Oryctolagus cuniculus: one gene and its partner. The protein of the gene in region 2 interacts with the protein of the main gene of each other region in a pairwise test. Links are inferred from orthologs where the notes say so. Each region holds a gene or a part of one and is shown on either strand. Other genes may lie near its edges.

The links.
Region 1: the proteins of MTFR1L (region 2) and ARMC1 interact in binary tests that used the Homo sapiens proteins (3 or more experiments, as listed by UniProt). The two-hybrid records come from large-scale screens. The link is inferred for Oryctolagus cuniculus from reciprocal best matches to the Homo sapiens genes MTFR1L and ARMC1.

Annotation. Positions count from the first base shown.
Region 1 is NC_091437.1:91,305,816-91,317,941, forward strand, and holds part of ARMC1 (armadillo repeat-containing protein 1), read right to left. Parts: intron 6,875-12,126; coding exon 6,685-6,874; intron 1,905-6,684; coding exon 1,788-1,904; intron 1,704-1,787; coding exon 1,629-1,703; intron 863-1,628; coding exon 671-862; 3' UTR 1-670.
Region 2 is NC_091438.1:145,591,003-145,603,801, forward strand, and holds the start of MTFR1L (mitochondrial fission regulator 1-like), read right to left. Parts: upstream 6,280-12,799; 5' UTR 6,141-6,279; exon of another isoform or gene 6,112-6,140; intron 6,029-6,111; exon of another isoform or gene 5,935-6,028; intron 4,741-5,934; exon of another isoform or gene 4,632-4,740; intron 4,180-4,631; 5' UTR 4,074-4,179; coding exon 4,050-4,073; intron 3,571-4,049; coding exon 3,466-3,570; intron 1-3,465. UniProt on the Homo sapiens protein: Mitochondrial protein required for adaptation of miochondrial dynamics to metabolic changes. Regulates mitochondrial morphology at steady state and mediates AMPK-dependent stress-induced mitochondrial fragmentation via the control of OPA1 levels.

The DNA of each region.
Region 1 (12,126 bases), on a different chromosome or scaffold from region 2:
CTTCTTTTTGACTGATTTTGTATTAATCTTGTTGAAATAACAGCAAATAAGTTGCAAAAATTTTTTTGGGGGGGGACTCTGTGTTCAAATAATTATATTTTAATATGCAAAATGTCATTAGTAATGTCCTTTCTATAAACATGGTTGGCAAAATAAAAAAAGGCACAAAAGGGGATAAACAAAAAATGTTTTCAATTGTCAGTGAAGAGTATCAAAGCACGTACTGTTCATGAAAAGCAGAGGAAAATGTTCAGTAATTCATGCACAACTTGAGCTACACAGAAACTTCTCTTCAGATACGTCTTGAGGCTTGAGGAGAAAGTAAGTTTTCCTAATCACGTGCTTCATGTAAAATAAAACGTAAAGCTGCACATACAGGTTTGGTTTCAACAGTGGACCCATGTTTTTAAAAAATGAGGCAACAAAACAAAGGAAAATAAAACCAAAATACCTTCAGGAACAAAGCAATTCCACCTGTAGCCTCTGTCCTTTTGTCACCCAGTGGGGTAAAATGTCCAATCAAATGTAAAATGCAGCATACGCAATCCTGTAATCTAAAAACTTTTTCATGATAACTTATTGCAAATTGCACTTGACAGTTCACCACAACAATGGAAAACTGGCCCCTTGTTGGTTCACACTGTCCTTGAGCCCCAAAGTGAAGTTGAAGTCACCAGTAAAATGACCTGGATAAAAAGTTTGCAGCTGTGCTCAGCCAGCTAGCTCCACCCTCCGGGTGTGAGCCGACCCGGGACACTGCTTTGTCCTGCTCCTTGGTGGGACTCTCATCCTCGGGCAGGTAGTCAGGCAGCTCTGTGTTCTGCTCTACTTCCATAGGAGTATCTTGGAACGGGACCAGCATCTGGAACACAGAACATATTAAAGAGTACCACAAAATCAAGGTGAGGGTCAACTTTGCTCTTCATTCTAATTACCACATTTATTCTCAGGGGCTCTGTTCTTTCTAAAATGTCCCCATTACATGACAGTAGTCCCAGTCACTGAGCAAGGTCTAAACACAGAAAAGGAAGAACAACAAATGAGAACTCAGAGGCTGACTTAACTATCTTGGAGTAAATGAGTAATCTATGTCTATGAAAAGATGACCAAAGTTAATGTCTGGCCATGTGGGTCCCTGGAGAGCCATGGAACCTCCCATTAATGAAGACCCAAATGAACTCATGGCATTCAGATTCATTTCTCTTTTTTAAAATTTCACACTCATTTTCATATTACAATGCTACTGGAAAGAGTAGCAACAGGCAAAGATTTTGACCAAATTTATTTCCCCAATGGGATGTACCTTCATTTTATTTTTTAGATTGGAAAAATAGTTAAGATTGGGAAGAAAGTATTAAACCAAGTATCCAATGCAAAGAAATCAAGTATCCTATATTTCCATACAAATTCAGTAAAATATCTCCACTGAGAAAATTTTCTTCAAAGAATAGATTCTGAAATCTACAACAGATCTGTATATATTTCTAAGACAGTTAACTGCTAACCAAGAAACATCACATTCTTAAACAGCTGGCATCTACTTGTCTAGAAATATTGGCAATCTGTGAGCCATAAAAGACAATCAAGAGTCTGAATTAGATATAAAGCAAACTAAATGCAACCTTTACCTCTTCTCCACTTTCACTTTTCACAACTTGCTGAGCTTTCATAACCTTGGTTGATGCTATCGCTGATGCCAAAGCCTGGAACAGGATGAGAGGGATCAATTTTGAGCATTGATTTGTTTAGCTGTAACCTTAGGCATTTTTCAGCTATGTTATACTAACCTCCGCCTTCAAATCTGAACGGATTCGCACCACACATCTTTGCACAGCCATTTGAAAAGTAAAGCTAATAACACCTTTAATTTTTAACAAAGCCTCTTCACATAGATTTCTCCGAGACTGAAAAATAAAAGGAAATTGTCATTAAATATGATAAAATAATAACAGGGAAGACATCAACTCAAATCATCCTAAACTAGTCATTTTCATTATATTTTGGGGGAAAGGGGTGTAGAGCTAGGACATGAACCCAGACACTCCGATATGGTATTTGGGTGCCCCAAGTGACCTCGTAACTGCTGTGTCAAATATGTGTCCCTCCTCTGTACTGTTAACAACTTTGTAAGAAGTTAGTCAGGGGGCCAGCACCGTGGCTCATTTGGTTGATCCTCCGCCTGCGGCGCTGGCAACCCATATGGGCGCCAGGTTCTAGTCCTGGCTGCTCCTCTTCCAGTCCAGCTCTCTGCTGTGGCTGAGGAGTACAGTGGAGGATGGCCCAAGTGCTTGGGCACCTGCACCTGCATGGGAGACCAGGAGAAAGCACCTGGCTCCTGGCTTTGGATCGGTGCAGTACCGGCCATTGTGACCATTTGGGGAGTGAACCAACGGAAGGAAGACCTTTCTCTCTCTCTCTCTCTCACTGTCTGTAACCCTACCTGTCAAATAAATAAAAACTCAGAGGGCTTCCATAGCCTTGGAAACTCATGACTGGAGCACAGGGAGATTACTGATGCCATAGACAGGAGTGTCAATTGGTAAAGTCAACAACAGGAGTCACTGTGCACTTACTCCCCATGTAGGATCTCTGTCCTTAATGTGCTGTACATTGAGATTTAATGCTATAACGAGTACTCAAACAATATATTTCACTTTGTGTTTCTATGGGGGTGCAAACTGTTGAAATCTTTACTTAATGCATACTAAACTGATCCTCTGTAAAAAAAAAAAAAAAAAAAAAAGAAATTATCAACTCCCAACTTGACTCTCACTGGGATTAAACATGACAATAGGTCTGATCTGATTTCATCATCATTTAAAAAAAATCATCCATTATTTTTCACTTTATGTTTCTGTGTGGGAGCAAACTGTTGAAATCCTTACTTAATGTATACTAAGCTGATCTTCTGTATATTAAGATAATCGAAAATGAATCTTGATGTGAATGGAAGGGGAGAGGGAGTGGGAAAGGGGAGGATTGTGGGTGGGAGGGACGGTATGGGGGGGAAGCCATTGTAATCCATAAATCGTACTTTGGAAATTTATATTCATTAAATAAAAGTTAAAAAATAAATAAATAAATAAAATAATAAAGTTAGTCAGTTAATTCACATTTTAAACAAAAAGTACAGGAAAAAAATGCCAAAAACCAGAAAAAAAGACAGTCCTCTAGCTGAAGCATGAGCAAACTACAATCCATCAGCTGATTTTGTAGATGACATTTCACTGGAACATGGCCAAAGTCACTCATTCATGTATCATATGACATGAGTTTCCTGCTAAGCAGAAAGCTGACAGAGACCCATGTCAATGTGCTAAGCCCAGAATATTTACTCCCTGACCCTATAAAGAAGATGGGACAGATGTTGTGGCACAGAAGGTTAAAACATCATATGCAATGCTGGCAGCCCATACCCACGTCCCACTTCAGAGTGCCCATTTGAGTCCTGGATGCTCCTCCTCTGATTAGCTCCCTGCTAATGCACCTGGGAAGGCAGTGGAAATGGCCCAAGTACTTGGGCTGGGGCCCCTGCCACCCACATGAGAAACCACTATGGAGCTCCAGCTTCTGGCATCAATCTGGCCCAGCCCTGAACGTTGTACACCATTTGGGGAGTGAGCAAGTAGTTGATGGAAGATATCTCTCTGACACTCTTCCTTTCATATAAATAATTTAATAAAAAAAAAAAAAGCTCAATTCTGGAATCACACTACCTAGATTCAAATCTTGACTCATCTTTTCATTTCCTCCACCTATGTGACTTGGATATGTTATTTAAACCATTCTAAAACTCAATTTCCCATTCTACAAAAATAAGATAATGACATTCCTCTTGGAGTTGATTATCAAATCAGATAATCAATGGAATATACTTATCCTGAGTGCCAGGTTACGTCACTAAAAAGTGCTGAGCAAGATAACGCAGTGCTAGTGTTAACTTGCTAGTGTTTTCTTTTGTATTTTGGCAATCACATTCTTGCTATATATTTGGCCTATGTTTTTCTAAGTGCTTTATTGGGTTTTATTATTTGGTTTGTGCTAGTTTTAAAAAAGAATTATATTCTTAGTCACTACAATGTGATGGTACTAAAGATATTTCAATATCTTAATATCTTGCATTCAATTTATATTTATCAGAACTTGCTTCCTAAACATTTTTCAAGATCTTGTAGCTCCAAATTCAGTAAGACAGGTGTTACCTCATTTGGCTCTGTCACAGATAATATGCATAAGGAAGGCTTCCTCTCATAAGAATACTTCAAAAAGCTTGAAGAAAATATAATTTAAAAATAATTTATTTTGGCCCAAATATTTTTGAAATCCATGCACATTTTTTATCATAGTATTCACTTTCCATGAACTTTTTATATAAAGACTCCTTTTTATGTACAAAAACCTAAATCTTGAGGCCTGAGCACCTAAATACTATAACTAGAAAAAGCTATGGATAATCTATTATAACCTACCTAGCATAGGTAAAGGGATAAATGATGTTCTGCCAGTTGCCACCCATAAATATGTAAAAGAAACAAAGATTTCATTCCAAACATATACTCTAAGAAATATTAAATGGGGCTGGTGCTGTGGCATAGTGGGTAAAGCCACCTGCAGTGCTGGCATCCCATACAGGCGCCAGTTTGAGACCTGACTGCTCTACTTTCCATTCAGCTCTCTGCTATGGCCTGGGAAAGCAGTACAAGATGGCCCAAGTCCTTGGGCCCCTGCACCCATGTGGGAGACCTGGAAGAAGCTCCTGGCTCCTGGCTCTGAATTGGCGCAGCTCTAGCCGTTGCGGCCAATTGGGGAGTGATCCAGCAGATGGAAGACCTCTCTCTCTCTCTCTCTGCCTCTCTTCTCTCTGTGTAAATCTGACTTTCAAATAAATAAATAAATCTTTTAAAAAAAATTCCAATCAGTCCAAAGAAGCCAGGAAAAAAGAGGAAAAATGGCACAAAGGACAGAGCAAATAGAAAGCAATCAGCAAAATGGCTGTTTCAAATCCAACCATATAAATAATCATGCTAAATGTAAATGGCCCAAATACTCCAGTTAAAAGGCAGGTTTTTAGATTAGATCAAAAAAGCAACACTTGGGGCCAACGCTTTGGCATAGTGGATAAAGCTGCTACTTGCAGTGCTGGCATCCCATATTGATGCTGGTTCCAGTCCTGGCTGCTCCACTTCCAATTCAGCGCCCTGCTATGGCCTGGGAAAGCACTGGAAGATGGCCCAAGCCCTTGGGCCCTTGCACCTGTGTGGGAGACCTGGAGGAAGCTCCTGGCTCCTGGCTTCAGATGGGCACAGCTCCGGCCACTGTGGCCAATTGTGGAGTGAACCAGCGGATGGAAGACCTCTCTCTCTGCGTAACTCTGACTTTCAAGTAAAATAAATCAATCTTTAAAAAAAAAAGCAACACTTGACTAGATGAGGCCTGGAAGAAATCCACTTTTAAGTATAGCTATAAATATAAGATATAAGGGTTGGTGCTTAGTGTAAGGGTGAAGAATAAATTGATAAGGAATCACAAGTTATGCAGAATTGCTAATGGAATTCCACAATACTTGAAAAGATTTTGTACAAATGGTATTATTTCTTCCAGTATAGCCACCCAGGGCCTGAAGTTGGTTTTTAATTGCAACTTCTATTTCTTAATAGATATGGAGGAAATTCAGTCATGTATTTCTTCCTGAGTGGGCTATGGTAATTGTCTTTCAAGAAATTTCCCCATTTCATCAGCATTATCAAGTTTATTGGTATAAAGTTATTTAAAATATTTATTTTATCCTTTTAATATCTGTAAGAGCTATAATGATGTCCTGTTACTGACACTGTTTTTCATTTCAGTGATTTCTGTTCTTTTTTGTTTTGTTCTTCTGTTTGCTTTGGCTTTAATTTGCTCTTCTTTTTCTACCTTTCTAGGGTAGAAGCTTATCTTTCCTCTTTTGTAAACATTTTGTGTGAATGAATTTCCACTTAAATACTGTGTCAATTGCTCCCCACAAATTGATGTTATATTTTCATAATTATTCAAGATGCTTTCTAATTCCTCTTTTGATTTATTACTAATGCATGGATTGTTTTGGAAACTCAGATTCTTGAAGTTTCAGGGAAATTTTCCAGGTTATGTTTCTGTTACTGATTTCCAGTTTTTTTTTCATTATGCTCACAGAACACACTTTTATGATTTTAATTCTTTTAAATTTATTATGTTTTATGGCCCACAAAATGGTCTATTACTGGTGAATATTCCATGTGCATAAAAAAACTGAGTATTACCCTGTTGTGAGATAAGACTATTGCATAAATATCAATTAGGTTTAGATGATTTATATTATTATTCAAGTATTTGATACCCTTACTGATTTTCTGTATGCTTCTTGTAATAATTGAGGGTACTGTTCAAATCTTTAGCTCTAACTATGGATTTGCCAATTTCTCCCAGCATTTCTGTCAGTTTTTGCTTCATGTGTTTGGAAGCTTTCTTATTAGAGGCCTAATAAGAAATAAGTACTTGATATTGTTATGTCCTCTGATGAAATGATGTCTTTCGCATAAAATGAGTACAAAATACTGATACTGACTTTTACTCTTGAAGACATCAAATGACACTGAAAAAAAAAAAAACTTGCTGACACGATTTCTCTTGCTCCTCTTATGATCAATATGTCTGTAAAATTCTCACCGTATCATCAAGACCATCTATATGCAAAACCACTGTTTTGGCACGTTTGTTTGTAGTTCCCAGAAAAAACTGAGCTTTCCTTCGACGTGAATTCATTTCACTGAAGCTATCGCCATCTGCCATATTAGAGGACTGAAGAATGTCATAGATTTCAGAGGCCAGGAGTTTTGTTTCTCCTGGAGTTGTAGTTCTGGAAAAGAGACACATACAAATTAAATCAGTCCTGCCCTTCTACTCACTATTCTGTAGTCTTATTTCTCAACTTTAAGGACCCTTATTTCCTTCACTTTGATGCTTTGTTCAATTTAAAAGCAATATAAAAGTGCAACAGAAAGTATCTTGTCTATCACGTTCTTTTATTTCTTTTTTCTTTTTTTCTTTTTTTTTTTTTTTTTTTTGACAGGCAGAGTGTGTCGACAGTGAGAGAGAGAGACAGAGAGAAAGGTCTTCCTTTGCCGTTGGTTCACCCTCCAATGGCCACAGTGTACCGCGCTGATCCGATGGCAGGAGCCAGGTACTTATCCTGGTCTCCCATGGGGTTCAAGGCCCAAGCACTTGGGCCATCCTCCACTGCACTCCCAGGACACAGCAGAGAGCTGGACTGGAAGAGGAGCAACCGGGACAGAATCTGGCACCCGGACCAGGACTAGAATCTGGTGTGCGGGCACCGCAGGCGGAGGATTTGCCTATTGAGCCATGGCACCGGCAGTATATTAGCTATTTTAAGAAAGAAATTTTTTATGCATTCTTTCCTTTATTTATACTTCATATCTTTTATAAAACAAGTATATTTCATAAACCATGTCTCAAGTAAAAGTACTCATTCTTAAACTTTTAAATCCCACTGTAGTTTTTCATATCAACATCTAGGGACCAGCACTGTAGTATAGTGGGTAAAGCCGCTGCCTGTAGCACCAGCATCCTGTATGGGCACCGGTTGTAGTCCTGGCTGCTCCACTTCTGATCCAGCTCTCTGATATGGCCTGGGAAAGCACTGGAAGATGGCCCAAGTCCTTGGGCCCCTGCACCCACATGGGAGACCTGGAAGAAGCTCCTGGCTTCGAATCAGCGCAATTCCATTCCCTGCAGCCATTTGGGGAGTGAACCAGCGGATGGAAGACCTCTCTCTCTCTCTCTCTGCCTCTCCTCTCTCTGTGTAACTCTGACTTTCAAATAAAAACAAATCTTAAAAAAAAAAAAAAAAAAAAAAGCCTAGTGCTCTACTAATGTAACTTTCTGCAATGACAGAAATGTTCTTTATCTGTACCTGAAAGGTAACCAAAGCAAGTAAAGAAAAAAATTTTATTTAATTAATTTAAATAGCATATGCAGTAAGAGGTCACCATAATGGATGGCACAAATCTAATATCTAATTAATTAATTGAATTTAATAAAAAAAAGTACATATAACTCTAAGAACATAATCCTTATTTCACTAATAAATAGGTTTGGTTAAATCCACACCTTTTAATATATATCCAAGGCCTTAAAAACTGTCGGAACCGGCTCATTTTGTCTTTTTATTATAGTTCTTCAAGTTGACTGACTATGGCACTTATCTATCTCCTACAAAGTAATGCATTTTCATATATCCTTTCTGTTGTTCTTTGTTGTGAAATGCAGAAGGTAGAATGCAGGAATCCTTTCTACTATTTTTAAAAGTTTTCTGTAGGTCAGGTATTATTTCAACATAAAATAACTGAGAAAAGGCATAGAGAAATAAAGCATACTTTTTTTCCACAAAGATTTTCAGCAAGGACACACCACCATTTATTATAATATTCTTTTAAAATAAAGAACTTCAGGGAGGGATCAGTGTTGTGGCATCACGGGTAAAGCCACTGCCTGCAGTGCCAGTATACCAGTATACTGCAGTGCCAGTTCCTGTCCCGGCTGCTCCACCTCTGATCCAGTTTCCTGCCACTGGCCTAAAAAAAGCAGGGGCCCTAGTACTTGAGCCCCTGCACCCACATGGGAGACTCAGAAGAAGCTCCTGGCTCCTGACTTTAGCCTGGCTGAGCCCAGGCTGTTGCAGCCATTTGGGGAATAAACCAGCAGGTGGAAGATCTCTTTCTGAAAAGTCTTTCAAATAAATACATAAATATCTAAAAAAAAAAAAAAGAGAGAGAAGAGAACTTCAGGGAGAGGCATATGCCACAGCAATTAAGACATTGTTAAGACATTGCTAGGGATGTCTACATCCCATATCAGAGTGCTTGGCTCTGTTTCAGATCCAGTTTCCTGTTAATGCACACCCTGCCAAGGATCCCTGGCAGACAGTAGGTAATAGTCCGGGTACTTGAGTACCTGCCACCCATGTGGGAGACCCAGACAGAGTTCCAGGATCCTGGTTTCAGCCTAGAGTAGCCCAGCTGTTGGGTTTTTTGATTAGTGAACCAGCAGATGTAAGACCTTTCTGTCTGTCTCTGTCTCTCTGCCTTTCAAATAATAGTAAAAGTTCATTTAAAACATTTTTTAAAGATTTATTTATTTGAAAGATAGAGTTAGAGAGATTGAAACTGCTAGAGAGGTCTTCCATCTGCTGGTTCACTCCCCAAATGGCCGCAACAGCCAGAGCTACACTGACCCAAAGCCAGGTGCCAGAAGCTTCTTCCGGATCTCCTATATGGGTGCAGGGGCCCAAGGACTTGGACCATCTTCTACTGCTTTCCCAGGCCATAAAGAGAACTGGATAGAAAGAGGAGCAGCTGGGACTCAAACCCATGCCCATATGGGATGCTGGTGCTTTAATCCACTGTACCACAGTGCTGGCCCCAATTAAAAATTTCTGAAAACTAGAACCTTAGGGGGCCAGTGCTGTGAAGTTGCAGGTTAAGCCTTTACCTGCAGTGCATGCATCCAATATGAGCGCCAGTTCATGTCCCGGCTGTTCCTCTTCTGATCCAGCTCTCTGCCTGCCATGGCCTGGGAAAGCAGTAGAAAATGGTCCAAGTGCTTGAGCCCTGCACCCATGTGGGAGACCCGAAAGAAGCTCCTGGTTCCTGGCTTCTGACAGCCTGGCCATTTGGGGAGTAAGCCAGTGGATATAAGACCTCTCATTCTGTTTCTAACTCTACCTCTCAAATAAATAATCTTTTTTTAAAAGATTTATTTTATTTATTTGAAAGACAGAGTTACAGAGAGAGGTAGAGACAGAAAGAGAGGTCTTCTATCTGCTGGTTCGCTCCCAGATGGCCACAACAGCCAGAGCTGCACCGATCTGAAGCCAGGAGCCTCTTCTGGGTCTCCCACGTGGGTGCAGGGGCCCAAGGACTTGGGCCATCTTCTACTGTTTTTCCAGGCCATAGCAGAGAGCTGGATCGGAAGAGGAGCAGCCAGGACTAGAACCAGCACCCATTTGGGATACTGGCACTTCAGGCGAGGGCATTAACCTGCTGCACTACAGTGCCGGCCCCAATAAATTATTCTTCAAAACACACACACACACACACACACACAAACTAGAATCTTAGAAGTTTAGAAGTTCCCCAGATGAACTCAGATATTTCAAAGCTGAAATGCCACATTTCATTCCAGTGGCTTCTATTTATAGTATACCCTTGTTAGATATTCTCAAGTGGCTTAGGAAATACATCTTGGGATGTGTGTTTGGCACAGCAGTTAAGATGCCTCTTGGAAAACCTATATCCCTTATCCAGAAAGCCTGGGTTCAAGCCCTGGCTCTGGTTCTAATTCCAGCTTCCTAGGAGGCAGGAGGTGATGACTCAAGTAGTTAGGTCCCTGTCACCCAGTTAAGAAACCTGGACTGGGTTTCAAGTTCCTAGCTTTGCCTGACCCAGCCCTGGCTGTTGCAGGCATTTGGGGAGTGAACAAGTAGACAGAAGATTGATCTCTTCCCCCATCACACACAAATAAAAAGGAATATTTAAAAAAAAAAAAGCAACTTGTATTAGCAGTGTAACTCTTGAAGTACCAATTAACAAATATCTCAAACTGGATTTAAAATTCTCCTTAAACTACCATCTTAAAAACTCTTTTCAGAAAGGAATCTAGGACTAAAAATATAATATGAAAGGTTCTATCCTTTAATACTTTAATAACAAGCTTTTATTTATGGAAGAGATTAAAATTAGAATATAATGTCAGAGTCATTCTGAGTGACAGAGAGCTGAAATTCTTTTCACAGTTAAAGAACTAAAGATAACAGTGATTTTGAACTCAATCCAAGTGTCAATTTGTAAGCACCAAGTTGACCTCACAAGTCAAAACTGCTGTTTTATACATGTTCCAATCTCAGCAAATTCTCTAGCAAAACATGAGATGGGAATTAAACAACAAAAATTTAATTTACAGAATTTTCTCATTATGTAATACTCTCCTCTGCTTCTCAAGGGGAGAAAAACCTCCATTTTTCCTCCCTATTCCTGTTCCTACCACCCCCTCCCCCCAGGTGAACACTGCCAGATGTAAGGCTCTTCAGTTAATAGGGTAGCATCATTTCACACCAGACTTTCTTTATTCTCCAGGTCTTCCTGGAACGTGGAAAAATCCTCCTGGTACTTCTTTAGTGGCATGGTTCCAGAGCAGCATAACCAGCTCTCCCCTAACTCAGTACTCTAAGACAGAGGCTGCTCTGAAAGTTTGCTTCTAATCCCACTGACTGGCTGGCTGTCATGAAGTAGCGATATCAAAGAACACAAGGAGAGCATCTAATATCCATCTCTGTGCTATCATTTGCCAAGGTGACTATATATGAAAGGGATACTAATTAGCTCATAAGTTTGTTAAGTCAGAATTGTGAAAAATCAGTCATGTGCATCTGGTAATAAAGATATCAAAATGCAAAATAATGTCTAAAGGACAGATAAGTGAGTTTATACTGGCACCTCGATGATAAAGATATAAAACGCGTTCTGCTCTACTTCTCACTCTGATTTCTTATAAATTTTAAGAAAAGAAACACATAGGTAGACAATTACAATAAGATTACCAAAGCAATCTCATTGTTTTTTTTTAAAAAAAAAAAAAAAAGGAAAATCTCGTGCGAGCCATGAGATGGGTCACAATGCAGTATTTAACAAGTTGACCCAAAATCTGACTGTAACACTTTAAAGTCTTGATGTTTACAAGCAAAAACACACGGTTTTATCAACCTAATTATCATATTAGGATAGCACTCAAATACACTGATAAACTTCTAAGGTGGTTAGAAGTTTGGTAAACAAAGGAGACTTTTAAAAAACTTGCAAGGCAGTCTTCAAATCTGACATCTCCAGATTTATATATATATGTGTGTTTATATATATGTATTTATATGTATGTATATATATACACACATACATATATATTTATATACACTGAGAAATGTATATAAATATGTACACTGAAAAATGCATATAAAAAATTGGTACCTCAGATCTCTGCTTCTCAAAGGGTTGAAGGATCAAATTATAATGGAGTACAAGACGACTGTTTCACTAT
Region 2 (12,799 bases):
AACAGCTTGCAGGACAGTTTGTGGGATTACAAATAGTTTAGGATCTTCATTGGTACTGGCCTGCGTGATTTTTTTTTTAAAAGATTTTTATTTATTTGATGGAGTTACAGACAGTGAGAGAGAGAGACAGAAAGGTCTTCCGGGCCGGCGCCGCGGCTCACTAGGCTAATCCTCCGCCTAGCGGCGCCGGCACACGGGGTTCTAGTCCTGGTTGGGGCACCGGATTCTGTCCCGGTTGCCCCTCTTCCAGGCCAGCTCTCTGCTGTGGCCCAGGAGTGCAGTGGAGGATGGCCCAAGTGCTTGGGCCCTGCACCCCATGGGAGACCAGGAAAAGCACCTGGCTCCTGGCTCCTGCCATCGGATCAGCGCGGTGCACCGGCCGCAGCGCGCCAGCCGCGGCGGCCATTGGAGGGTGAACCAACGGCAAAGGAAGACCTTTCTCTCTGTCTCTCTCTCTCACTGTCCACTCTGCCTGTCAAAAAACAAAAAACAAAAAACAAAAAAAAAAAAGAAAGGTCTTCCTTCCATTGGTTCACTCCCCAAATGGCCACAATGGTTGCAGCTGCGCTGATCCGGAGCCAGGTGCTTCCTCCTGGTCTCCCATGCCTTCCCAGCTGGCCTGAGTGATCTTTTAACAGGGCTGGCCATGAGACAGGTGTTGTGGTATACCAGATTAGGCCACTGCTTGGGACGCCTGTATCCCACAAGAAGACCTGGTTCCAGTCCTGGCTACTCTGCATCTCATCCAGCTCCCTGCTGATGCACCAGGGAAGCAGTGGATGATGGCTCAAGTACTTGGGCTCCTGCCACCATGTCAGACCTGGCTTCAGCCTGGCCCAGCTCTGGCTGTTTTGGATCTTTGGGGAATAAATCAGTGAATGGAAGATTAGTCTGTAATTCTGCCTTTCAAATAAAATAATTATTAAACAAACAGAGATGGCCATCTTGCCCTTTGATTGTGAGAATATGGGTACAGGGGCTGGCGCTGTGGTATAGCAGGTAAGGCCGCTGTCTGCAGTGCCAGCATCCCATATAGGCGCCGGTTTAAGACCCGGCTGATCCACTTCCAATCCAGCTCTCTACTGTGGCCTGGGAAAGCAGTACAAGATGGCCCAAGTCCTTGGGCTTCTGCACCTGCGTGGGAGACCTGGAAGAAGCTCCTGGCTCCTGGCTTCATATCGGCACAGCTCTGGCCGTTGCGGCCATTTGAGGAATGAACCAGCAGATGGAAGATCTCTTTCTGCCTCCTCTTCTGTGTAACTCTTTCAAATAAATAAATAAATCTTTTAAAAAAAAGAATGTATGGGTACAGGGTCATCAAAAATCTGTTCTAGCCACGGGAAATTTCTTGTGGCTGTGTCATGGTGTGATTCTAGGTAACTTATTTTACTTTCCACAATTTTTTTTTTTCAACTTATTTGACAGAGTTAGACAGTGAGAGAGAGACAGACAGAAAGACAGAGAGAAAGGTCTTCCTTCCATTGGTTCACCCCCCAAATGGCTGCTACAGCCAGCACTGTGCCGATCCGAAGCCAGGAGCCAGGTGTTTCCTCCTGGTCTCCCACACGGGTGCAGGGCCCAAGCACTTGGGCCATCCTCGACTGCCTTCCCAGGCCACAGCAGAGAGCTGGACTGGAAAAGGAGCAACCAGGACTAGAACCCAGTGCCCATATGGGATGCCAGTGCCGTAGGTGGAGGATTAGCCAAGTGACCCATGGCGCCAGCCTACTTTTCACAATTTTTATAGGGCTAAATTTTAAAAATAAGATTCCTTTTAATATTTAAGATGATTTACAGAAATCTAGGTATAATTAAGACAGTAGCACACCTGCATGAGTTAAATTCCATCTGTTACAAATTGTTTATTAGGTGGATGAGGGGTTGCCAGTTCTTGCTTTTAGATAGGGAACCTGGGACTGACAGGAATTAAGTGACACTCCAAGGGCACGAGGAGGATGAGTGTCACTGACCCAGAGCTATTGCCAGAGTGAGCCATTCAGGGAGAGCCATGTTTGCTTTCCGGGATTAGCTGTGAATGTCCCTTCGCTGTGGGCAGTTAACCGAGGTAATGTGGGAAGTGCCTGCACAGTGTGTGCCCCTCGTCAGTGTCACTGCTCCTCCCTGCTGCTCTGAGGGAGCCTGTGCCTGGCAGCATCTGTCCAAGGCCTGCAGGGGAGACAGCCAAGCGTGGGGCACCCTGCACGGGGTCAGTCACGCTTAGCCGTCTTTCCCTGTTGTCCAGTGCTTCCAAGGCAGCTGGGACCCACGTCCTCCTGCCCCTGCCAATTAGGCAATTCTGGGTGATTGGCAAGTTGGGTTATGGGATAGCCCTTTCCAACCTCATTCCTGAACTAACACCAAGCCTGATACCACTTCCAACTCCAGATCCAGTTCCTACACAGCCTGCACTTTAGCATCTGATATACAAGCTCCTTCACTCTCTTCCTGCCTGGGCACACCTTTCACTCGTATGTGGGTTTCCTCTGCATAGACAGAAAGCAGAGGTGGGTGTGTCCCAGCGTCCTGAGCACAGACACCTTAACCAGCAGTCTGGAACTGATGCTTCACCGTTGGTTCCTGGGGGAGGCAGCTGGGACTGACAGATGCTGCTCAGCGTTCAGGGTAGGAGGAGGTCTCAGACCTGGGCCAGGCAGAACTCTGCTACAGAAGAAGAGCTAAAGTCTCCCAGACAGGGAGGTAACACTGAAGTAGCCTGGTAAAGGAGTGGCCAGACTTAGCCAGAAAGAGGAAGACGGGGGGAGTAAGGCCTCAGAAACACTACAAGTGGCTAAGTGGCCAAGTCTTAGGACTTAGAGCTGAAGAAGAGAGTTAAGCTCAAGAGACACACATGGGCTGGCATAGTGGTTTAAGCTACCACCTGTGACACCGGCATCCCATATGAGCCAGTTTGAGTCCTGGCTGCTCCATTTCTGATTAAGCTCCCTGCTAAGCTAATGTACCTGGTGAAGCAGCAGATGATCCAATACCTGGGCCTCTGCTACCCACACGGGAGACACAGATCGAGCTCCTGGCTTCAGCCTGGCCCAGCTCTAGCCTTTGCAGCCGTTTAGGGAGTGAACCAGCAGATGGAAGAGATCGCTCTCAAGAGTCAATATAACACTCAGTGACCCACGTGGAGACCCTCGGGTTGTTGGCAAACAGCTCGAGCGCAGATGTGCACAGTCATGCAGATTTGGCCTGCTCTGATAAACTGCTGAAGCCGATGAAATCAGAGTCTCAGCAGAGGCCACCAGGATGTCAGTGTTCACTCATGAACAGACTGGAAGGCCGTGTAGCCGCAGGTGTGTGTGCAATCAGAAGGTACCGTGAGCAGGAGCTATCTGGACCACTTACTAAATACTTCTTGATCAAATGAAAAAGTAAGCAGGAAGGCAGCTGGCCTTGGCACACACCAACAGGTCTGAGGCACAGAGCCTCTTCTCTCCTCGCCCTCAGCACACTCACCTCAAAGGCTGCCCGGGGGCACGGCTTCAAGGGTAGGTTGGTCCCAATTCTCCTCACCACACTTCGGGCAGCTCCGTGAGGCTTGTTTTGCCAGATTGGGATAGTCTAGGCAAAGAGGGACAGGATGGCCACAACTTCAGAGACAGCGAGTCCAGCTACCTTTGTCCCTGCCCACTCTAGCAGGAAGACTGGATTCCAAATCTCAGAGGCAGGGTACCCTCTGGGGCTAAGTCAGGTCTCTACTATGAGTGAGGACAGGCTCCTCAACAGCCAGCACCCAAGGGACATGCTGCTGCTGGGGCAGTCAGTGTCAGGAAGCCCAGTGAAGGGGCCAGGAGTTAGCTGGGTACAGGGATCATCCAGGTGCCCCTCCCCTCCCTCTGCACAGGAAGGTGGAAATACGTTGAGCCCTGAAACTTCTCCAGTGCCTAGCAGATTCCTCAGAGAAGGGGATGGAAGGGCAGCCTTGCTCCAGTTCCAGGCCTCCAGGGAGAAGGATTGCGGGAGTCAGAACCTCGTACTGTACTTGGGCTGGCTCGGTGCTCCACTCTCCCACCACACCTTGCCCTGGGAGTGTCCCTTACCACATTGGCTTCCATTCCCGACATCGCAGCCAGCTCCTGCACTTGGACAGGGCAGCCACGGCAGCAGGGAGAGGCGGGAGGTGTGGCGCCTGCACATCAGGCCATCTTGAGGAATGTCCGATTTTCCTTCCTGTGAAACAACCCCCACAGTGGGAACTCAGTGGCCACAAGCCCCACAAAAGTAGGCCCTGCAGAGCCTCGACTACACCAAGACTTCTGTTTCACACGAGGAGAAAACCACTCCAAGAGGCTGCCTTCACCCACCACAGGCTCCAAATCCAGGCCCCTAAAGGTTCTGTTCGACTTTGTGGGTGAGCTCGGCCAACCTGGGGAACCTCCCTGGGCCCTGAGGTTTCTTGAGGCAAAAGGACATAAATAGAAAATATGTTCTAAAGACATAAATAGAACCTGTTGGTATGTACAAAGTTCATGGGAGAGCCAAAAGGAAGGTACTGTCCAAGCCCAGCATTCATTCTTAGGGTTGGAAAAGCATTGCTGGGCCCCTGCCAGGGGCTGGAGCGGCAGCAGGAGAGTGAACAGAGGGGGGAGAAGAGCCCCAAATCTGCATCTTGGTTCAGCCACCTGCCGTCTTGTAGCCTCCGGCAGGTCATTTAATCTTTCTGAATGGTTCTCCACTTGACCTTAAGGTTCGGTGAAATGGGTTTAAGTGCTTAATGAACCGTTAAACACGCCACAGATGGAAGGGGTCACTCCTGGCAGGTGCAGTCCGCTCCTATGCATTCCCTTGTTCACCCAGCTGAGATGGGACCCGGACAGTGACTTTCACTGAGGAGGAGGCTGGGTGAGTTCAGAGGGAGTAGGAAGGTGAGGGGTGGAGTATGAGAAGACAACGAGGCAGGCTGGGGGTGAAGTCCTGAGGGCTGGGGACGCCGGGGGAGGTCACTGCGGAGCAGAGACTGGCAAAGCCGCTCTTTTGGCGAGTTCCCCCGGAGGGTCTCCCCCTTGGGAAAGCAGGTGTCGGGGAAGGGAAGCTGGAGGAGGAAGGGCCCCGGGGCTGGCCCGGGTGTCGCTGCCTCCACTCCTCAGTCCAAGCCTTTCATCTGCGCCCCAGTGCCTCTGTCTCAAATCCTTACGGCCACTTCCTCCGGTGGGCCTGATGCAACAGCTGCAGGCATTTTCCCAAACACTTCGGTTCTATGATTAAAACTGGCTGGCTAGAGACGACAAGATAGAACCTGGACCCCAGACTGCCCCGCGAGGCCGGTGCGGGGCGGCCCCCGCGTCACGGCCACACCTCCCGCGCCCTTGCAGGCGACGCCAGCACCCGCTTCTCGGCCCCAGCGTCACCGTCCGTCCTGCCCGGGTCGGGGGCGCCCCAGTTCCCTGCAGCACCGCCGCGAACTGCGGTTCCCGGAGGGGCCGCACGGCATCTGCCGGAACAGACTAAGCGCTCGAACATCCGTGGAGCCGGAGACTGCCAGCTCGGCCTCCAAGCTCCCCGCCCCAAGGGCTGCGGGCTGGCAACACTGCTGGGCCGTCGGCGCTGCTGCGCCCCCACCGCCCCTTCCGAGGCCGCCGTCACGCTCCGTTCACGCGCGTCCCCCCGGGGAGACGGCGCTGCTCCAAGCAGGGCCGTCTCCGCACCCCGGCCCGGGCGCAAACTTCGCGGCGCGCACCGACGGTCGGAGCCCCGCGCGGTGGGTCTCGCCGCCAGGCCCCCACGCAGCTGCGCGGGGAAGCCGCCGCTGGGACCCAGCCAGGACGCGCGTCCCCGCCCCCGCAACACCCCGCCGGCCCGGATCAAGGTCGGCCAGGTCCTCGCCGCCTGCCCAGCAGCCCAGCGCCCCAGCGCCCCACAGGCCCCGTGGCCGGGTCTCCGAAGGGCCGAACCCTCCGGTCGGCCTCGGCTCGGAGGAGTAACTACCCTCTCGGGGACTCGGCTTCCCCGTGCCAAAGGAAGCGGACGGCGGCGGCTCCCGCGAGAAGTCGCGCGGGAACAGGAGCCGCGGGCCCCGCACAGCGCCTGGCGCCGAGACCCCGCCTGCGGCCGGGCCGGAAGGCCGCGCCTCTGTCTCTCCGGCCGCCCTCGGACCCTGCTCACCTCAGACTGTGGCTCCGGGACTCACTCACCTCACGGCCCCTCCTACCTCAGCGAGCAGCCCGGCCTCAACCGCCCCGACTTCCGCTGACCCGCCCCCCCCGGAAGCGATCCTTTGCAGCTGCGCACCGAGCCGCGCCCCCGCGCGCCCTCGGCAGGCGGGCCCAGGGCGGGGGCGGGGATGGGGGCGCGGCCTCTGAGGGGGCGGGGATGGGGGCGCGGCCTATGAGGGGGCGGGGCGGGGCACGCCCCCGTCCGCAGGCAGCGCCTGGAGATCCCCGAGGGTGCTGATTCGTCGCTTCCGGCGCGGGTCGCCGTCGCTTTGTTGCTTTTCACGTTTGTACGCCTTCGACTTCCGGAAGCCGAGGTCTGCCCAGCTCGGCCTTTAAAATATGCGGGGTCTGTTGCCCCCCACCCCGGGCTCTGGCGCTTCCTCTGCGTGGCCCTCGAGTCCGTGGGCCTCCCCCAAGAGAATGGGCTCCCCAGTCTTTGGGGCTTTCTTCTGTCTTAGCCTTTATCTCACCCTTAGACGCACAGCCACATGGCATATATATATGTGTGTGTATGTATATGTATATACATACACACACATATATATTTAAAAGTTTATTTATTTGAAAGGCAGAATGACCCAAAAAAAAAAAAAAAAAAAAAAGTGGGAGGGAAGCTGGTTCACTTCTCAAATGCCCGCAAGAGCCACAGCCCGCCCAGGCGGAAACCAGGAGCCGGAAACTCCGTGTGGGTCCCCCGCGCGGGTGAAAGTGTCCAGGTACTCGGGTATCCTCTGCTGCACACTGGGGGAAGGGGGTCAGAAGCAGCACAGCCCAGCACTATGGGCTGTGGGCAACCCACCCTGCGGCCCAGCCCACTGCACCACTGCACTGGTCCTACAGGCGGCACCTTCCAAAATCGGTTAGGCGGGCCAGACCCCAGAAGCCCTGGCAGAGAGACCCACACTGGTCAGACCAACTCCCTCACTCCTGGTCTCGGTGGCACCTAGTTCCTAGGCCACCGTTTCTTCTCTGACCCCAGCCTAAGGCCGTGCCCGGCTCCTGGGATGCAATCCCTTGGTCCCAATGCCTGAATCCCGTGTGCCCGGGCCGGCTTCATGGGTGAACAGCTTGTGCAGTCCCACAGAGCCCCATTTCCAGAACCGCACACTCAGCTCAGTGCTCTGCAGCTGCCCTCTTGAAATTACTAATGATTTCTACACTGGGGGTCTTGCATTTTCACTTTGCAGAGCCTTGCAGATACAAAGCTGGTCCTGGCCAGACGCCTCAGAGGACATCCGTCTTGGAAGAGTCCAGCTCTTTTTCCAGGACGGCAAATCATGCTTTGTTCCTCCCGGGTCCAAGCCTCATGCCGCCTCTCCTGGGTGTATAATTGTGGCGTCTCACCCGGCTCCCCTTGCAGAAGGAGGACGAAGCCCACCAACCTGGGCGTTTACTCTTCTGCTCCCAGGCCAGTAGCTGGTTGGTCGAGATGTGAAAGGCTGGCACAGCTGTGCAGTGTGGTTTGTGACCCACAGCCTCCCCGTAGATGCGGCCGAGCCCGGGCGCTGAGACCCTAACCTAACCCTTCCCTCTTCTGCTCCCTTGTCGTTTTACAGGTCTTTTCCTGAAGTGCACATCATATCCATGAGGGCGGGTGTTTGACCCAGCAGTTGACATGCTGGGTAGGACACCCCTAGCCCCCATCAGAATGTCTGGGTTCAAATGAATAAATCCTGGCCGGCAATGTGGCACAGTGGGTAAAGCTGCCACCTGTGATGCTGGCATCCCATATGGGCACCCGTTCATGTCCCAGCTGTTCCACCTCTGATCCAGCTCCCTGCTGATGGCCTGGGAAAAACAGCACAGGGTGCCCCAAGTGCTTGGGCCCCTGCCACCCACATGGGAGACCTGGATTGAGTTCCTAGTTCCTAGCGTTGGCCTGGCCAACTAGTTCCTAGGGTTGTGGGCTTTTGGGGAGTGAGCCACCAGATGCGAGATTTGTCTCTGTGCCTTTCAAATAAATACATAATTTTGAAAAAGATCGCCTAAGGCCTGGCTCAGGCCCTTCGTCTAAGACAACGGGTTAACTTCAGAATCTTTTTCAATACAGAACACCAGACTTTGAAAATGGTAAGTTCACCACGTGGTCTACCACAAACATTTTGGCAAGGCACTCAGGCTCTCTGGTGACAGATAAGCCGGTCGCCAGTCATTCCAGCTCCACTCTGCACAGCCAGTCCCATCGACGGAGGGGCTGGACTGGGGGAGGAGAGAACAGATTCGAGGACATGTATGGGCCCAGGGAGGGAGGTGGCAGAGCAAGGACAAGAGGCGGCTGGGGGCCTCAAGACCCAGTGGAGCACAGGCAGAGGTCCCTGGTGGAGACTGGAAGCCCAAGCATCCAGCACGTCGCCCAGGACTAGGACAGTCCCGTGTGGAGCCTGCCCTCCCCAAGCAGCACAAGGTGGAACCTGCCGGGGTGGGGGAGGCAGGTGTGTGCTGGCACCCGGAGGGAGGCTCAGGGGATGCGCTGCCAGCTCAGGCGCCCTCCAGCCCGTCAGGACGGAGAACCTGGCCGTGCTCGCTGGCGTGCGCCCCGCCTGTCTGCAGGCCTGGGGAGACTGAGACAGTCTGGGTCTGGGCTATCCTTCCACCCAGGGAAAATGGGCAGGGAGTTGGGGGGGGGGGTGCAGCACCAAGCCGTCCCCCCCCAACACACAATCAAGATGTAGGTTTCAGAGTCACCCGTGGGCTTGAATCTCAGTTCCCCCACTCTGGGTGACTTCAGAGTCCTGTCCCTTTCCTGAGCCTCAAGTCACCCGCAAAATGGGCCCGCTGACCATGCCCTGCCCCCCTGCAGGCTGGATGCGAGAGAACACAAGGACGCGTCATCGTAGCTGGCTCAGCACCTGCTGCTGATTTATACCCGACACGGCGTGGGGAACGTGGCTGGCTCCGTGTGGGCACTCCCACGGAGGGCGGGTGAGGGAGAGGTGAACCCCTGGGGTGGAGGACAGAGAAGGGGGCAGGCAGAGAGAGGCCCCACCTCCAGGCAGGTTCCCAGGGCGCCCTGGGGCCGGGCGGAGGGCAGGTCAGAGCTGAAGAGAAGGGAGGGGCCATCGTCCCACCCGCACAGCAGCAGGGACATCAGGCTGGGTCCTCTGGGGTTTCAGACCCAGCTGTCATGGAGCTGCTGCCAGAGGGCTACAGCCCCTCCCTTCTCATCACGGGGTTATCAAAATACCTACAAACTGCGGAAGTTCTGTAAAAACGCTTTTCTGCATGTATAAAAAAGAGGCTGGGCATGGCCCATGGCTCAGGAGTGGCCCAGGAGAGCCGGCTGTGCTGCCCCTCTGGCCCTCACCCCGGGGGTCGTGGGCAAGCTGGTCTGGGCACGCCTGGTGGCCGAGACAGAGCTGGCCCGGGGGAGCTTGTGTTCTTTGACTGCTGGGCAGACCTCCAAGGAGTTAGAAGTCGGAGGGGCACCAGCCGTCTTGCAGGGCCCCGGGTTCAGGGCCAGCCTCAGCGGGGCTCCTGGCTGGAGGCAGGGAGACACGCCCAGCCCGGGCAGCTGGCGCCGCCGTGAGTCCCTGCCGGGGCTCCGGTGTCCCGTCACGAGGCCGCCGCGTGGGCTGGGAGCACAGGGGTGAGTGCAGTTTCCACTTCTGAAAGGGAGGCGCCGCCCAGAGGCTCTGGAACGTTGTGTCCACCGGGGACGGCCCCAGCCGGGGACATCGGGCACAGCAGGGCACGTGGCCGGGAAGAGGGCTCCAGACAGACGGAGTGCTGCCCGGGCTGGGGCTCCTTGAAGTTTCCTCTGGGAGTGGGGTCAAAGCAAGGACAGCGCAGCTGGTGAGGACCCGGGCTGTGTGACTGGGTGGGGTGAGGCGAGGCCCAGGGAGAGCGCCCCAGGTGCATTCTGGGGAGCTCCCAGCAGCTTCCAGAGCCAGGTGGGTGGGCAGGGGCTGCTGCTGGTGGTCCGAGCTAGGGGTCCCCCCACCTGTGTCCCCGCGTCCCTCCCCATGCCACCGTCTCCGGGGCAGAGCTAGGGCCGCCACCCTTGGCTGACTGGGAGCCGGGTGGGGGCTGCAGACCCGGCGCCCCGAGCTAGGGCTGGAGGAGGGGCAGGCCGCGCCGCAGCCCCTCCTGCAGGAAGCGCAGGTAGGTGGCCGTGGACGGGTCTTCGAAGGTGGACGAGAAGCGGAAGACGTTGCTCTCCACGTCCTCGGGCTTCAGGGCGGTGATGTCCAGGAAGTAGTTGGCGTTGATGTGGTGGACCTAGGGGAGGGGCTGGGTGAGGAGGGCCCCGGCTTGGCCACTCTGGGGCGACAGTGGAAGGCGGTGCAGCGACGGGCTGTGGCCCACCCCGACCCCGCCGGCCACCCTCTGTTGCCTCTGCTCCCGCAGGGCCCGACAATGATGGAGCTCCTCCCCACCCCGGCCTCAGGGCAAAACCCCAGTGCCTCCCATGTCACCTTCACCACCTCTCTGACCCCCACCGCTCAAAATGGCCTCTGTCCTCCGTTCCTGCGCCCCTGAGCTCCATGACCCCTGCTGCCCACGTTCGCCAGGGCTGCTCCCCCAGCTGCCTCGCCGCAGCCAGCTCATTTCGCCACCAGCTGCCCCTCGTCACCGTCTGCTACTCTGGCCCCGTCCCGGAGCCTTTGTAAGCCTCCCTGTCCCTAGAGATCCTCTGCCTCCCAAGGCTGCTGTGAGGCCCCCAGGAGAGACGTGGGTGAGGCCGCCCAAGGGGTCCTCAGGCAGGGGCGGGCCTTGAACCCTGGCTCAGGCTGGGCCCGCCCCTGGGGCACCCTGCCTGGCTCTGCTCCCTTCCTTCCCAGGGCTGTGCTGACTGGCCCTGGGCCGTGCTGGCTGCTGCCCAGGGAGTGGTGAGAGTCGCCCTTCCCGCTGGAGCGTCCCCACGTATGGATGTGAGTGACCGGGCCCAGGCTGGTCAGGAGACTAGCTCAGGGCTTCGCAGTCAAGAGGAGGCAGCGCCAGACCCGAAGCTGGGCGAGGCGGGCGCGGCTGCGGCCCGCGGGCCGGTGCGGGGGTGCCTACCACGGTGCCGTTGGGCAGGCAAATCATCATCTCCACGGGGAAGCTGTACTTCTCCAGGTGCAGGCTGGCCAGCTCCCGGTGGGACGGGTTCCCCTGATTGTTCTGCGGGGACAGGGGCGCTCCTGAGCTCTCCGCCCCAGGCCGGACCCGGGCTCCTGCGGGGCTGTCCTGTGCACCTGCCCGCGCACCTGCCCGCTCACCTGCAGGTCCTCCAGCTCCTTCACCAGGGACCAGGTGCTGACGAAGCTCTCGTTGAGCAGGGTGAGGACGGGCGAACTTTCCAGGACAGTCTCCCGGAGAGTTCGCCCCGAACCTGTCCAGAGGGGTGGCAAGGGGGTTCCATCAGCAACAGTCTGGCTTTGGGCAAGTGTCCGGGGCCCCACAGTGGGCCCTGCCCCGGGAGACAGACAGAGCTGCCTCAGAGTAGGCGGGGAGCAGCTGGTGACCACAATTTGCCTCGGTGCCGTCCTGGATTGCAGGGCGGAGGCGTGGGGTGGGGGGTCTACATGACTCAGGGATCTGTAGACAGCTACAGCCCCTTACATCCATGGACCTCTCTGTGCCCCAGGGCCTTTGCACAGATGGTCCCTCCACCCAGAACACCCTCCTGTCACTTGACAAACTCCTACCCAGTCCTTTAGGGTCTCCGCTGAAAAGTCACTTTCTCTAAGAAGCCTTCCTCGATGCCCCAGCCACATCCGGCGCCACTCTGGCCTCGTGTGACACTCACCTCGCCTGCACTTCCTCGCTCAGCGTCAGCCTCTGCACCACACTGTGCGCTCCCTAAGTCAGGGGCCCCCCACCCCCCTTCCTCATCCTGGTCGGCAGCAGGAGCCCAGGACCTGGGACTGGCTGGCTGCGGGCACTCATCTCTGTGCCCACACCCGACACCCTGAGGTCTCCGGGGCCGCGTCTGCTCCGGCCTCTGCCCCTCCCCCTGACCACGCATGTGTGATGCCCTAGAGCGTGCCCTGTCCCTTCTCACGTGTGTGCAACTCTCTCAAGGGTCAGGCTGTGCTGCCACCATCCTCACAGCTCTGGGGGCCAACTCCAGTGTCCTCTGGGAAGACAGCGCAGGCTCAGGGTGGGGGTGGGGACAGTACTGGCTTTGGGGGGAGGGGAGCCAGCACAGGCTGGGGGTGGGGGTGGGGACAGTACTGGCTTTGGGGGGAGGGGAGCCAGCGCAGGCTGGGGACGGGGTGGGGGTCACTCTGTCAAGGTCGCCAGGCTACAAAGCGTGGGGTCTGAGCCTAGTCTGCCCCTTCTTCTGTGTCCGGAAGCTTCCTCTCCGCACGCCCCATGCCCTCGGGACTCTTCCAGGAGAGTGGCGCTGGCATGACGTGACAGGGCTGAGGGTCCCTGTCCCCCCTCACCTCAGCAGGACTGGTCGTCCAGCGCCCCCCACAGCAGGATCGAGTGCACCAGCCTCTTCTCGGCCTTGGCGCGGTCGAAGGCCTCAGTGAACGGCAGGTAGGTGACCTGGAGCCGAGCCAAGGTGGGCAGAGCTATTGTGTGTGGCTCAGCCCTGTGAATGCACAGTGCGTGCGTGTGTGCGCGTATGTATGCGTGTGTGTGTGTCTATGTGTCTATGTGGGAATGTGCGTGCATTTCTAGGGATATGTCTGTGTGGACGCATG